4 linked regions of the Saccharomyces cerevisiae S288C genome follow. The protein of the gene in region 3 interacts with the protein of the main gene of each other region in a pairwise test. Each region holds a gene or a part of one and is shown on either strand. Other genes may lie near its edges.

What was found.
Region 1: the proteins of EMC5 (region 3) and SNA3 interact in binary tests that used the Saccharomyces cerevisiae proteins (3 or more experiments, as listed by UniProt).
Region 2: the proteins of EMC5 (region 3) and PIS1 interact in a protein complementation assay, tested with the Saccharomyces cerevisiae proteins (one large-scale study listed by BioGRID).
Region 4: the proteins of EMC5 (region 3) and MATALPHA1 interact in a protein complementation assay, tested with the Saccharomyces cerevisiae proteins (one large-scale study listed by BioGRID).

What each region holds. Positions count from the first base shown.
Region 1 is NC_001142.9:135,832-138,400, reverse strand, and holds SNA3 (Sna3p), read left to right. Parts: upstream 1-1,627; coding exon 1,628-2,029; downstream 2,030-2,569. Other genes in the region: SCF ubiquitin ligase complex subunit DAS1, read right to left, coding at 1-1,022; inositol-3-phosphate synthase INO1, read left to right, coding at 2,468-2,569.
Region 2 is NC_001148.4:750,616-753,419, forward strand, and holds PIS1 (CDP-diacylglycerol--inositol 3-phosphatidyltransferase), read left to right. Parts: upstream 1-1,641; coding exon 1,642-2,304; downstream 2,305-2,804. Other genes in the region: RNA-binding ribosome biosynthesis protein MRD1, read right to left, coding at 1-1,304; ALE2 (Ale2p), read left to right, coding at 2,686-2,804. UniProt on the Saccharomyces cerevisiae protein: Catalyzes the synthesis of phosphatidylinositol (PtdIns).
Region 3 is NC_001141.2:303,122-305,644, forward strand, and holds EMC5 (Emc5p), read right to left. Parts: upstream 984-2,523; coding exon 558-983; downstream 1-557. Other genes in the region: cohesin subunit IRR1, read right to left, coding at 1,356-2,523. UniProt on the Saccharomyces cerevisiae protein: Part of the endoplasmic reticulum membrane protein complex (EMC) that enables the energy-independent insertion into endoplasmic reticulum membranes of newly synthesized membrane proteins.
Region 4 is NC_001135.5:198,704-201,469, forward strand, and holds MATALPHA1 (transcriptional co-activator mating type protein alpha), read left to right. Parts: upstream 1-1,738; coding exon 1,739-2,266; downstream 2,267-2,766. Other genes in the region: Ras family guanine nucleotide exchange factor BUD5, read right to left, coding at 1-846; MATALPHA2 (homeodomain mating type protein alpha2), read right to left, coding at 843-1,475; YCR041W (uncharacterized protein), read left to right, coding at 2,208-2,540; transcription initiation factor TFIID subunit TAF2, read right to left, coding at 2,471-2,766. UniProt on the Saccharomyces cerevisiae protein: Mating type proteins are sequence specific DNA-binding proteins that act as master switches in yeast differentiation by controlling gene expression in a cell type-specific fashion.

The sequences.
Region 1 (2,569 bases), on a different chromosome or scaffold from region 3:
TGCTTAATAGAAATCAAAGACAAATCTTCCAGGTTCTCAAATTCTTTAAAATCTTTCAGCATTTCTGTCTCGCGTTTTAACAAAGTGTCATTCCAAGAAATGATGGTAAGAATTTTCAATGTCCTCTTGTCAAAAACCTCCGATAGTTTAGTCAGAGGATTGCCGGGTCGTATCTTTTTAACAAAATAATCATTATTGTAAAACTCCCTCCTCCAATGCAATTTTAAATCGATGATTTGTAACTTGATATCTAAAGGGTAAAGATAATTGAACAGTTTTAAAGGGTCGATGAATAAAGTCATATGAGAAAGCCGAGAAGAGATACGCTGTGAAAGATATTTGGTGAGATTCGGAATGTAATTTTCGGGAACAACCATCTCAGGCAATGAATTTGGAGGAGCCATGTCGAAACTTGAGACGTTGCTCCTGGAAAAGTGACCATTGGAGATGATATCGTTACAAGCCGGGTCAGTGACGTTTTCTAGTCTTTGCAAGGACTTGCCCTGATTGCAAAGGATGCTGAGAATGGACCTTTGCAAGGTAGAGTCCAAATCCCAGTTGATCCTTATCCACTGGATGACTTCAGTAATGTGAATATTATTTTGCAGTGTTTCTATAAGTTTTTTCAATTTGCAGTTGGCGATATCGCGGGACTCCTCTTCTTTCAACGAAGACGGCAAGTTCAGTAGGGTCCAATTAATTGCGAGATGCATGAAGTCACTCTTCACTACATTTGAGTCGTTCAAATATATTCTTCTATAAAGCAGTTTGGTAGCGATCTTATTCAACCTTTTGTTCACAAGGCAAAGCTGCAAGCGGTCTGGTTGCGGCAAATGAGAGAATACTTCTTGCATGAGCTCATCGGGGAGCTTTGTTAGCGGGAACACGTAGTTTTTGCTCTTGGCGGCGAAATTTATGTTAATATCGTTAATATCTCGTAGCGCTGAAGCATCTGCGTTACTTTTATTGTTTCTGTTAATGAACGCTGCTTTTTTCTTCTGAAAATAATCTTGAAATGGCATGATATGAATATAAGCTGAGTTGTAAACACTGTGTATAGACGTCCTGGATATTTTGCACGGAAATCAGATCTCCATCGAAATCTACAATTCGCTTATAATCTATATATATTCCTCTTTGTGTGGGACGATAAAGTAGGGTAATACTTGCAATGAGAAAGAATACTCTGGTGAACAGGTGCATTTTGAGAGGGAAATAGGAACTAAGAAAAACAAGTAGAGGAAAAGGGGTGTAGTGCAGTGCAGTAAAGCGTTGCATTGATCGTATCTTGATAGATATACCGGTATATTACTGAACGTTTACATTCACCCTACAACATTTATAAATCTTATATATTATACATGCAAACTCGTATTTGTGAAGTGGGCATATAGTTTTTCGCTATGTATATAGCGGATGAGTGCGTTGGGATTACTATTTCTTTAATGCACGTGATGAAGGCTCGTTTTCTTTTTTTTTTTTTTTTTTTCTTTTTGGGAACGGGGGAAAAGGTCTCACTAGTATATAAAGGAAAGAGAGTACAGCACGAATGAGCCAGCTGCAGGAAAGGGGCTAGGTTAAAAAATAAAAACCCAGCAGAAAGCAAACAACCAAATATAATTTAGAAATGGACAGAGACCATATTAATGACCATGACCATCGAATGAGCTATTCCATCAACAAGGACGACTTGTTGTTAATGGTTTTGGCGGTTTTCATTCCCCCAGTGGCCGTCTGGAAGCGTAAGGGTATGTTCAACAGGGATACACTATTGAACTTACTTCTCTTCCTACTGTTATTCTTCCCAGCAATCATTCACGCTTGCTACGTTGTATATGAAACGAGTAGTGAACGTTCGTACGATCTTTCACGCAGACATGCGACTGCGCCCGCCGTAGACCGTGACCTGGAAGCTCACCCTGCAGAGGAATCTCAAGCACAGCCTCCAGCATATGATGAAGACGATGAGGCCGGTGCCGATGTGCCCTTGATGGACAACAAACAACAGCTCTCTTCCGGCCGTACTTAGTGATCGGAACGAGCTCTTTATCACCGTAGTTCTAAATAACACATAGAGTAAATTATTGCCTTTTTCTTCGTTCCTTTTGTTCTTCACGTCCTTTTTATGAAATACGTGCCGGTGTTCCGGGGTTGGATGCGGAATCGAAAGTGTTGAATGTGAAATATGCGGAGGCCAAGTATGCGCTTCGGCGGCTAAATGCGGCATGTGAAAAGTATTGTCTATTTTATCTTCATCCTTCTTTCCCAGAATATTGAACTTATTTAATTCACATGGAGCAGAGAAAGCGCACCTCTGCGTTGGCGGCAATGTTAATTTGAGACGTATATAAATTGGAGCTTTCGTCACCTTTTTTTGGCTTGTTCTGTTGTCGGGTTCCTAATGTTAGTTTTATCCTTGATTTATTCTGTTTCATTCCCTTTTTTTTCCAGTGAAAAAGAAGTAACAATGACAGAAGATAATATTGCTCCAATCACCTCCGTTAAAGTAGTTACCGACAAGTGCACGTACAAGGACAACGAGCTGCTCACCAAGTACAGCTACGAAAAT
Region 2 (2,804 bases), on a different chromosome or scaffold from region 3:
TTTAAATCAAACTCATCTAATCTATGGCTTTTTTTTTCTTCACCAGGAAGAATATGCAATAGTCTTCCTTGAAAAATCTGTTTATCCAATTCAACATAGGCGTTCACTGCATTCTTAGAATCCTTAAATAGAACGTATGCAAATCCTTTGGATTGACCAGTCCTGGTATCCAAAGCCACATGAACCTCCTCTAACTCTCCAAATGGACTAAATAGTTTCCTGAAATCTTCTTCTTTGGAGGTATACAAGATATTACGTAAGAATAAACGGCCAGTTTGGTTAATTTTTTCAATAGCCAGTTCTTCGTCCGTCTTTTGCGGCACAGCACGTTCTGGTTGTTCTTCCTTCTTGGTATCGAGACTTTCATTTTGTTCAGTAGCGTATGATGATGATTTTTCCCTTGTTTCCGCTTCACTTTCTTTGATTCTTACACGGCGTTGTTTGAACCAATCTAGGTCAGAAACCTTTTCATCTTGGGCGAGGTTTCTCCTCTTTTCATTCTCTTTTTCATCACTATTAGCGTCATCATTAACTAAACCTATATCAGTATCCTTCAAATTGCTAATACTTATCATCTTTTCTTCCTCTCCGGCATCTTCTTGATCTTCATCCCTGTTTCTGTTGAGAGCCGAATATTCATCGTCACTTTCATTCTCAATGACCAAATTTGGTGCTTCGTCTTTATTATTCTCTTCCTTTAAGGCTAATGCATGAGCCAATAGAGAATTCCCTTGCACGCTGGAGTCCTCTTCTTCCCGTTTTAGTTTTTCGTCCTCTATGCTCTTGTCAATGCCAACTTTTTCCCATGATGTGACTTGTGAGCTTGGCTTCATAGTCTCCATGAACTCTTGTAATTGCTTGTTCTTGCGAATCTCGTCATCAATGTTGCTGTGCTTATTTTCATCCACTTTCTTTTTCTTTCGATTTTCTTCTTGTAGCAATTTTTCTTCCTTTTCCCTAAACCTTTTCAGAGCTTCTCTTCTCTTCTCCTTCATGGGCTGCGGGACTCTTGGGTCTGCAAAGCTTTTAGCCATGGACACTTCTATCTTAGAAGTGTTGATAAAACTGCCATTGAAATACTCTACAGCATCAAAAGCGTCTTCCTCGTTACGGTATCCGATAAATCCAAATCTTCTACTTTCTCCGTTCCTATCTCTAAGAATTTTAACATCTGTTATGAGGTCTGGACCACTACCATTAACTGCTTGATGGGAATGTTTTTGACGTAATCTTTTTGTAAAATGCTCCCTGAGATTATCATCTGTTAGATAGACGGGCAAACCCTTGACAATGATACGGGACATGTTAGTTATGTTATCTTGTGCTTGAGGCTCAAATTAAATCTCAGTTCAGGTTGCAGTCTTTGCATATGAAGTACCGATGAGATGAGATGAGATGAGCTCTAAATTTCCATAAAATTTTTTCATTTTATAAAATTCACGTCGCTCCGCACGTAAATCCCTATTACGGAAATTATTTCTCAATAGGGAAAGCCCCTCCTATTGTTTTTTCCGTCTCGAGGATTTTTCACTTTTAGTATATAAGTAAAACATAAAAAACATGAGAGGTGGTATGGTTTATTTGCCGTCACTGTGGAGCCTTCAAGTAATGTAAATAAGAGGGAAAGTGTGATAGTACAAGATGAGTTCGAATTCAACACCAGAAAAGGTTACTGCAGAACACGTTCTGTGGTATATTCCCAATAAGATCGGTTATGTTCGTGTTATCACCGCCGCCCTTTCTTTTTTCGTTATGAAGAATCATCCTACGGCCTTTACATGGTTGTATAGTACATCATGTCTACTGGATGCGCTAGACGGAACCATGGCAAGAAAGTACAATCAGGTTTCCAGTCTGGGTGCCGTTCTGGACATGGTTACCGACAGATCCAGTACCGCTGGCTTGATGTGTTTCCTTTGTGTGCAGTATCCCCAATGGTGCGTTTTCTTCCAATTAATGCTGGGCTTGGATATTACTAGTCACTACATGCATATGTATGCCAGTTTAAGTGCTGGTAAGACTTCTCATAAAAGTGTGGGCGAGGGTGAGTCCAGATTGTTACACCTGTACTACACGAGAAGAGACGTACTGTTCACTATCTGTGCGTTTAACGAACTATTTTATGCTGGATTGTACTTGCAGTTGTTCTCAAATTCTGCAACCTTTGGTAAATGGACTACAATCATAAGTTTCCCTGGTTACGTGTTCAAGCAGACCGCAAACGTTGTCCAGCTAAAAAGGGCAGCCTTGATTTTAGCAGACAACGATGCCAAGAATGCCAACGAGAAGAACAAGACTTACTGATAGGATGAGTTTCTTACTTTTTTTCTCCTTTTAATTGCGCTAATCTTTTATTTATGTGTAGTTTTTATTTATGTGAAATGGAACATTCGTTGATTTAACTTTAAAAGCAGCCTACTCTATCGTCTTGATTATACTTGGCACAACAAATGCTCAAATAAACGAAAAATTTCATATTGTTGGTACTTTTTCTCAACGCGGTTTTTTTCCTGTTTTTTTCGAGCAGTTCCCGAGGGCATATTTAACATAAGCCAAGGAGAGAGAAAAAACGTTTGTTGGACAGATCAAAAAGAAAAAGAAGAAGACCTCTCCTCTATCTCAAGCTTCTGCCCCCCCCCCCGGAAGGAATTCAAGCACGAAGGTGAACATTGCCTACAAGAAAAAATGGATGTTTTATTGTCGCTTCCTCAACCGGAATTATTTAAGACCACGGTGATTCCGTTCTTGGCAAATCGCAATATAATCAAGTCGGAAGCGATTCTCTCCAACTTGCACTCAATTTT
Region 3 (2,523 bases):
AATAACAGAATGAATCATCAATAAGGGCTTGTCTGTACCTCAGGATGATTTGAACAAGTTCCACTTACGCTAACATGAGGATGAATATCGTACTTATACTATGTAAACTGGAATAGAAATATTCCGAACGGTTATCCATTAGAGTGTTAGCCCTCAAACCGAGACTCTCGATAATATTGAATAGAAGATTTTACCACTAAATTTAGTGTGTATTTATGTATCTTAATAACAAACTATCCAACGAAGACGCAAAAGATACTATCCGCCCCGTAATCCTTTTGAAACCACTCAAGCTTATGGTTCACGTTATAGAACACAGGAGACGCTTGCATTATTGGTGATTCTAATATAGCTTTCTATTCCTCTATGAAAGGCGTCTGTGTTGGTGTAAATAGAAGAGGTGCCTGGTCACCTGACGCCTTATTTTGTGCAGTTACGATGTTCGAGTAGATTCGCTATCGAATTTATGCTCAAAATCTAGCTAATCCTCTTATTAGATCTTGATATGTATATATGTATGAAATTATAAGTTCTAGCTCTAGTTTTCAGTATCTTATTTATTTTTCTTTTTTTACAGTGTTAGAGGCCCATTCCCTGCAAATTTTTCTCTTCATATGAACGTCAACAAAGCTTGGAGTAAATATGATCTCACCATTAGGGTTACTTCCTATCAAGTTATCCACGTTGGTGGCTTTATTTAATGCGATTTCTTTTAGATAGTTTCCTTGGGATATTATCTTCCCATCGTTACTCTCAATTGGTAAATATTGTAATTTCTCGAACGAAGTGAACACTGCAAGAACAAAGAGTATCAATCCTGCATACGTTTCATACATGATATCTTTAGGTAACTTGCTGATTGCACCTTGTGCATTATTAAGCGAGTTAAGTTTTAATAAGTGATGAAACTCATAGCTTGAGAAACCAGAATGAAATAACACCAATGCAGAGACTGTATAGAGAAGCTTGGAAACAAACGACATCTCTTGATAATTGCTTTTTTGTATCTCGGTAGGGCTTAATTACGATCGCTTTTTAGATGCTACAATTAACATGCATAACAACTATCTGAGTTGACTTTATTTTATATTCAAAAGTAGATTTTTCTGCGCTGCGTTTACATCGCGAGTTTTCGAAGAAGCAAAGGGCGCTTTGATGACGATTGAATGGGCTTGGAAAATACATAGCCGAATATCATCCAGCGAGTATAGTCTAATGCGAAGGGATATTTGAAGTATTTATGATTAATCAAAAACTGCTAACGAAGCTATGTATGTTCAAAAGAAAGATGTGATATATATTATAGATCTTATTGTTTTACAAAAGAGCAATAAGTCTGACGTATATCTTTTCCCTTAATCTTGTGTGATTTCGTCGCTGTTGTCTATAGCATCTACCACGGTTGGGTGTTCCTCAATTGGTGCTAACTCTGAATTATTTTGCGAACTTTCTTCAATAGGTTCTAGATCGATTGTCATGGGAATATCTGGATCATTATTTTCAGTATTTGCATGGTCGGTTTCTCGTTCACTGTTGGGTTGTAAAGGCGCTTTTTCCCTCTGTGTTTGATTTGATTTTGCTTTCTGTATGTTCTTTTTATTAGGTTCTGGATTTTCCATTATGGTATCATCTACGATTTTTTTGAACAGCGGGCCAAGCTTTTCTTTGTTTAGTGCCACACGGGAAGCAAATCGTTCATCTAAAATATTCAGTTTCATTAGTCCCTTCAATTTAACTGTGAATAAAAGGAATTCAGTTTCAATATTCTCGAAAAACCCGGTTTCCGGCAAATCATTTAGGTTGGCGTCTTCATCTGCTACCCTTTCTAATTGGACGTCAACTTGCTTAGCGAAAAGACTCTCCAAATATAAAAATATTTTCAAAAGCACTTTGGAAGCATTATCGTGAAGGTAAAATGGAAATTGTTCACTCATACTATATCTCCATGTTGTAGCGTCTGCAGGCAATTTGAGCTCAAATATTTTTATTGCAACGATTATATCCATTAATGAAGTGCAAGCTGACCATTTTAAGTAAAACAAGCTGTTTATGTTTTCAAATGTTTCGTTTGTAGCCGCCAATGAAATAACGAGTGTGTTTAGACGACCTATTATAGCGGCAATTGGTTTCCAAACTGATCTAAGATCTTTTGAAATAGAATTCTCGTAATCCCTTACTTTCTCTATTATTTCTCTCCATTTTTCCAGATTCCATGTGGCTAATAACACTAGCATTTTAAAGTTTATTTCTTGAGCGGTACTATCATCAAAATCTTGAAACATTATAGGGATACGGGAAACAAAATTGTTCAAAAACAGTTGCAACAACTCTTCATCAACCTCGATTGGGTAATCCCTGCCAAGAATTGTCAGTTTATTGATGTAGAGCTCGTACAAAGAACAAGTTAAATCTTTGTAGTCGTCCCTAGAATTATTTGGATCCATTTTTTCCTGTAGAAATTTTTTTAAATGAATTTTCAATGTAGCTATCTGGTTTAAAAATTTTTCCTGCAGTTCCTTTTTT
Region 4 (2,766 bases), on a different chromosome or scaffold from region 3:
TTTGTTTTTATTAATTGTGGGATAGGATAGTAGCAACTCTTGGAGGAGAGCATTGTCAGTTGTCCAGTCTCTGAAGTTAAGTAGTAAGTTTGCGGAGTCAAAGGGGGATGGCTTTTGCCATTTGTGAGAGTTGTGCGGCAGCATCTTATTCAAATAGAGCTGTATTCTGAAGACCTCTTGTAGAACATCATCCATACTAAAAAGTAAATCGTCCTGTCCCATTACGAGCTGTATTAGTGCTGTGACCCTCTGTATATTTACGTTGCCATGAAGAAGGTAATGGGCGATATTTTGATACAATTCCTGAGTTGCATGTTGGATTGAGTTTACGAAGGGTCGCCAGACGGCCAGAAACCTCCAGGCGGAGTTAACAACTAGTAATACGGCATCCATGTTTGCATCAGCGCCGAGCCTATACCAGTCACTGAGTAGACGTTTTCTTGCTCTTTTTATGTCCTGACTTCTTTTGACGAGGGGGCATTCTCTAGAGACACAGGCAGTTGCTTCCAGCAACTGCCGTACGGCCGTTCTCATGCTGTCGAGGATTTTTTTTGGGACGATATTGTCATTATAGGGCAGTGTGTGACTTATGAATTGTTGTAGAAGGACGTCTGTGATGTTGGAGATATGTATTTTGTTAACTCTTCTTGAGACGATTTGGCCCTGGATAGCGAAGCGTGCGGTTACAAATAGGTCGTCTTGTTCAAGAAGGTAGGCGAGGACATTATCTATCAGTACAAACATCTTAGTAGTGTCTGAGGAGAGGGTTGATTGTTTATGTATTTTTGCGAAATATATATATATATATTCTACACAGATATATACATATTTGTTTTTCGGGCTCATTCTTTCTTCTTTGCCAGAGGCTCACCGCTCAAGAGGTCCGCTAATTCTGGAGCGATTGTTATTGTTTTTTCTTTTCTTCTTCTATTCGAAACCCAGTTTTTGATTTGAATGCGAGATAAACTGGTATTCTTCATTAGATTCTCTAGGCCCTTGGTATCTAGATATGGGTTCTCGATGTTCTTTGCAAACCAACTTTCTAGTATTCGGACATTTTCTTTTGTAAACCGGTGTCCTCTGTAAGGTTTAGTACTTTTGTTTATCATATCTTGAGTTACCACATTAAATACCAACCCATCCGCCGATTTATTTTTCTGTGTAAGTTGATAATTACTTCTATCGTTTTCTATGCTGCGCATTTCTTTGAGTAATACAGTAATGGTAGTAGTGAGTTGAGATGTTGTTTGCAACAACTTCTTCTCCTCATCACTAATCTTACGGTTTTTGTTGGCCCTAGATAAGAATCCTAATATATCCCTTAATTCAACTTCTTCTTCTGTTGTTACACTCTCTGGTAACTTAGGTAAATTACAGCAAATAGAAAAGAGCTTTTTATTTATGTCTAGTATGCTGGATTTAAACTCATCTGTGATTTGTGGATTTAAAAGGTCTTTAATGGGTATTTTATTCATTTTTTCTTGCTTATCTTCCTTTTTTTCTTGCCCACTTCTAAGCTGATTTCAATCTCTCCTTTATATATATTTTTAAGTTCCAACATTTTATGTTTCAAAACATTAATGATGTCTGGGTTTTGTTTGGGATGCAATTTATTGCTTCCCAATGTAGAAAAGTACATCATATGAAACAACTTAAACTCTTAACTACTTCTTTTAACCTTCACTTTTTATGAAATGTATCAACCATATATAATAACTTAATAGACGACATTCACAATATGTTTACTTCGAAGCCTGCTTTCAAAATTAAGAACAAAGCATCCAAATCATACAGAAACACAGCGGTTTCAAAAAAGCTGAAAGAAAAACGTCTAGCTGAGCATGTGAGGCCAAGCTGCTTCAATATTATTCGACCACTCAAGAAAGATATCCAGATTCCTGTTCCTTCCTCTCGATTTTTAAATAAAATCCAAATTCACAGGATAGCGTCTGGAAGTCAAAATACTCAGTTTCGACAGTTCAATAAGACATCTATAAAATCTTCAAAGAAATATTTAAACTCATTTATGGCTTTTAGAGCATATTACTCACAGTTTGGCTCCGGTGTAAAACAAAATGTCTTGTCTTCTCTGCTCGCTGAAGAATGGCACGCGGACAAAATGCAGCACGGAATATGGGACTACTTCGCGCAACAGTATAATTTTATAAACCCTGGTTTTGGTTTTGTAGAGTGGTTGACGAATAATTATGCTGAAGTACGTGGTGACGGATATTGGGAAGATGTGTTTGTACATTTGGCCTTATAGAGTGTGGTCGTGGCGGAGGTTGTTTATCTTTCGAGTACTGAATGTTGTCAGTATAGCTATCCTATTTGAAACTCCCCATCGTCTTGCTCTTGTTCCCAATGTTTGTTTATACACTCATATGGCTATACCCTTATCTACTTGCCTCTTTTGTTTATGTCTATGTATTTGTATAAAATATGATATTACTCAGACTCAAGCAAACAATCAATTCTTAGCATCATTCTTTGTTCTTATCTTAACCATAAACGATCTTGATGTGACTTTTGTAATTTGAACGAATTGGCTATACGGGACGGATGACAAATGCACCATTACTCTAGGTTGTTGTTGGATCTTAACAAACCGTAAAGGTAAACTGCCCATGCGGTTCACATGACTTTTGACTTTCCTTTGTTTGCTAGTTACCTTCGGCTTCACAATTTGTTTTTCCACTTTTCTAACAGGTTTATCACCTTTCAAACTTATCTTTATCTTATTCGCCTTCTTGGGTGCCTCCACAG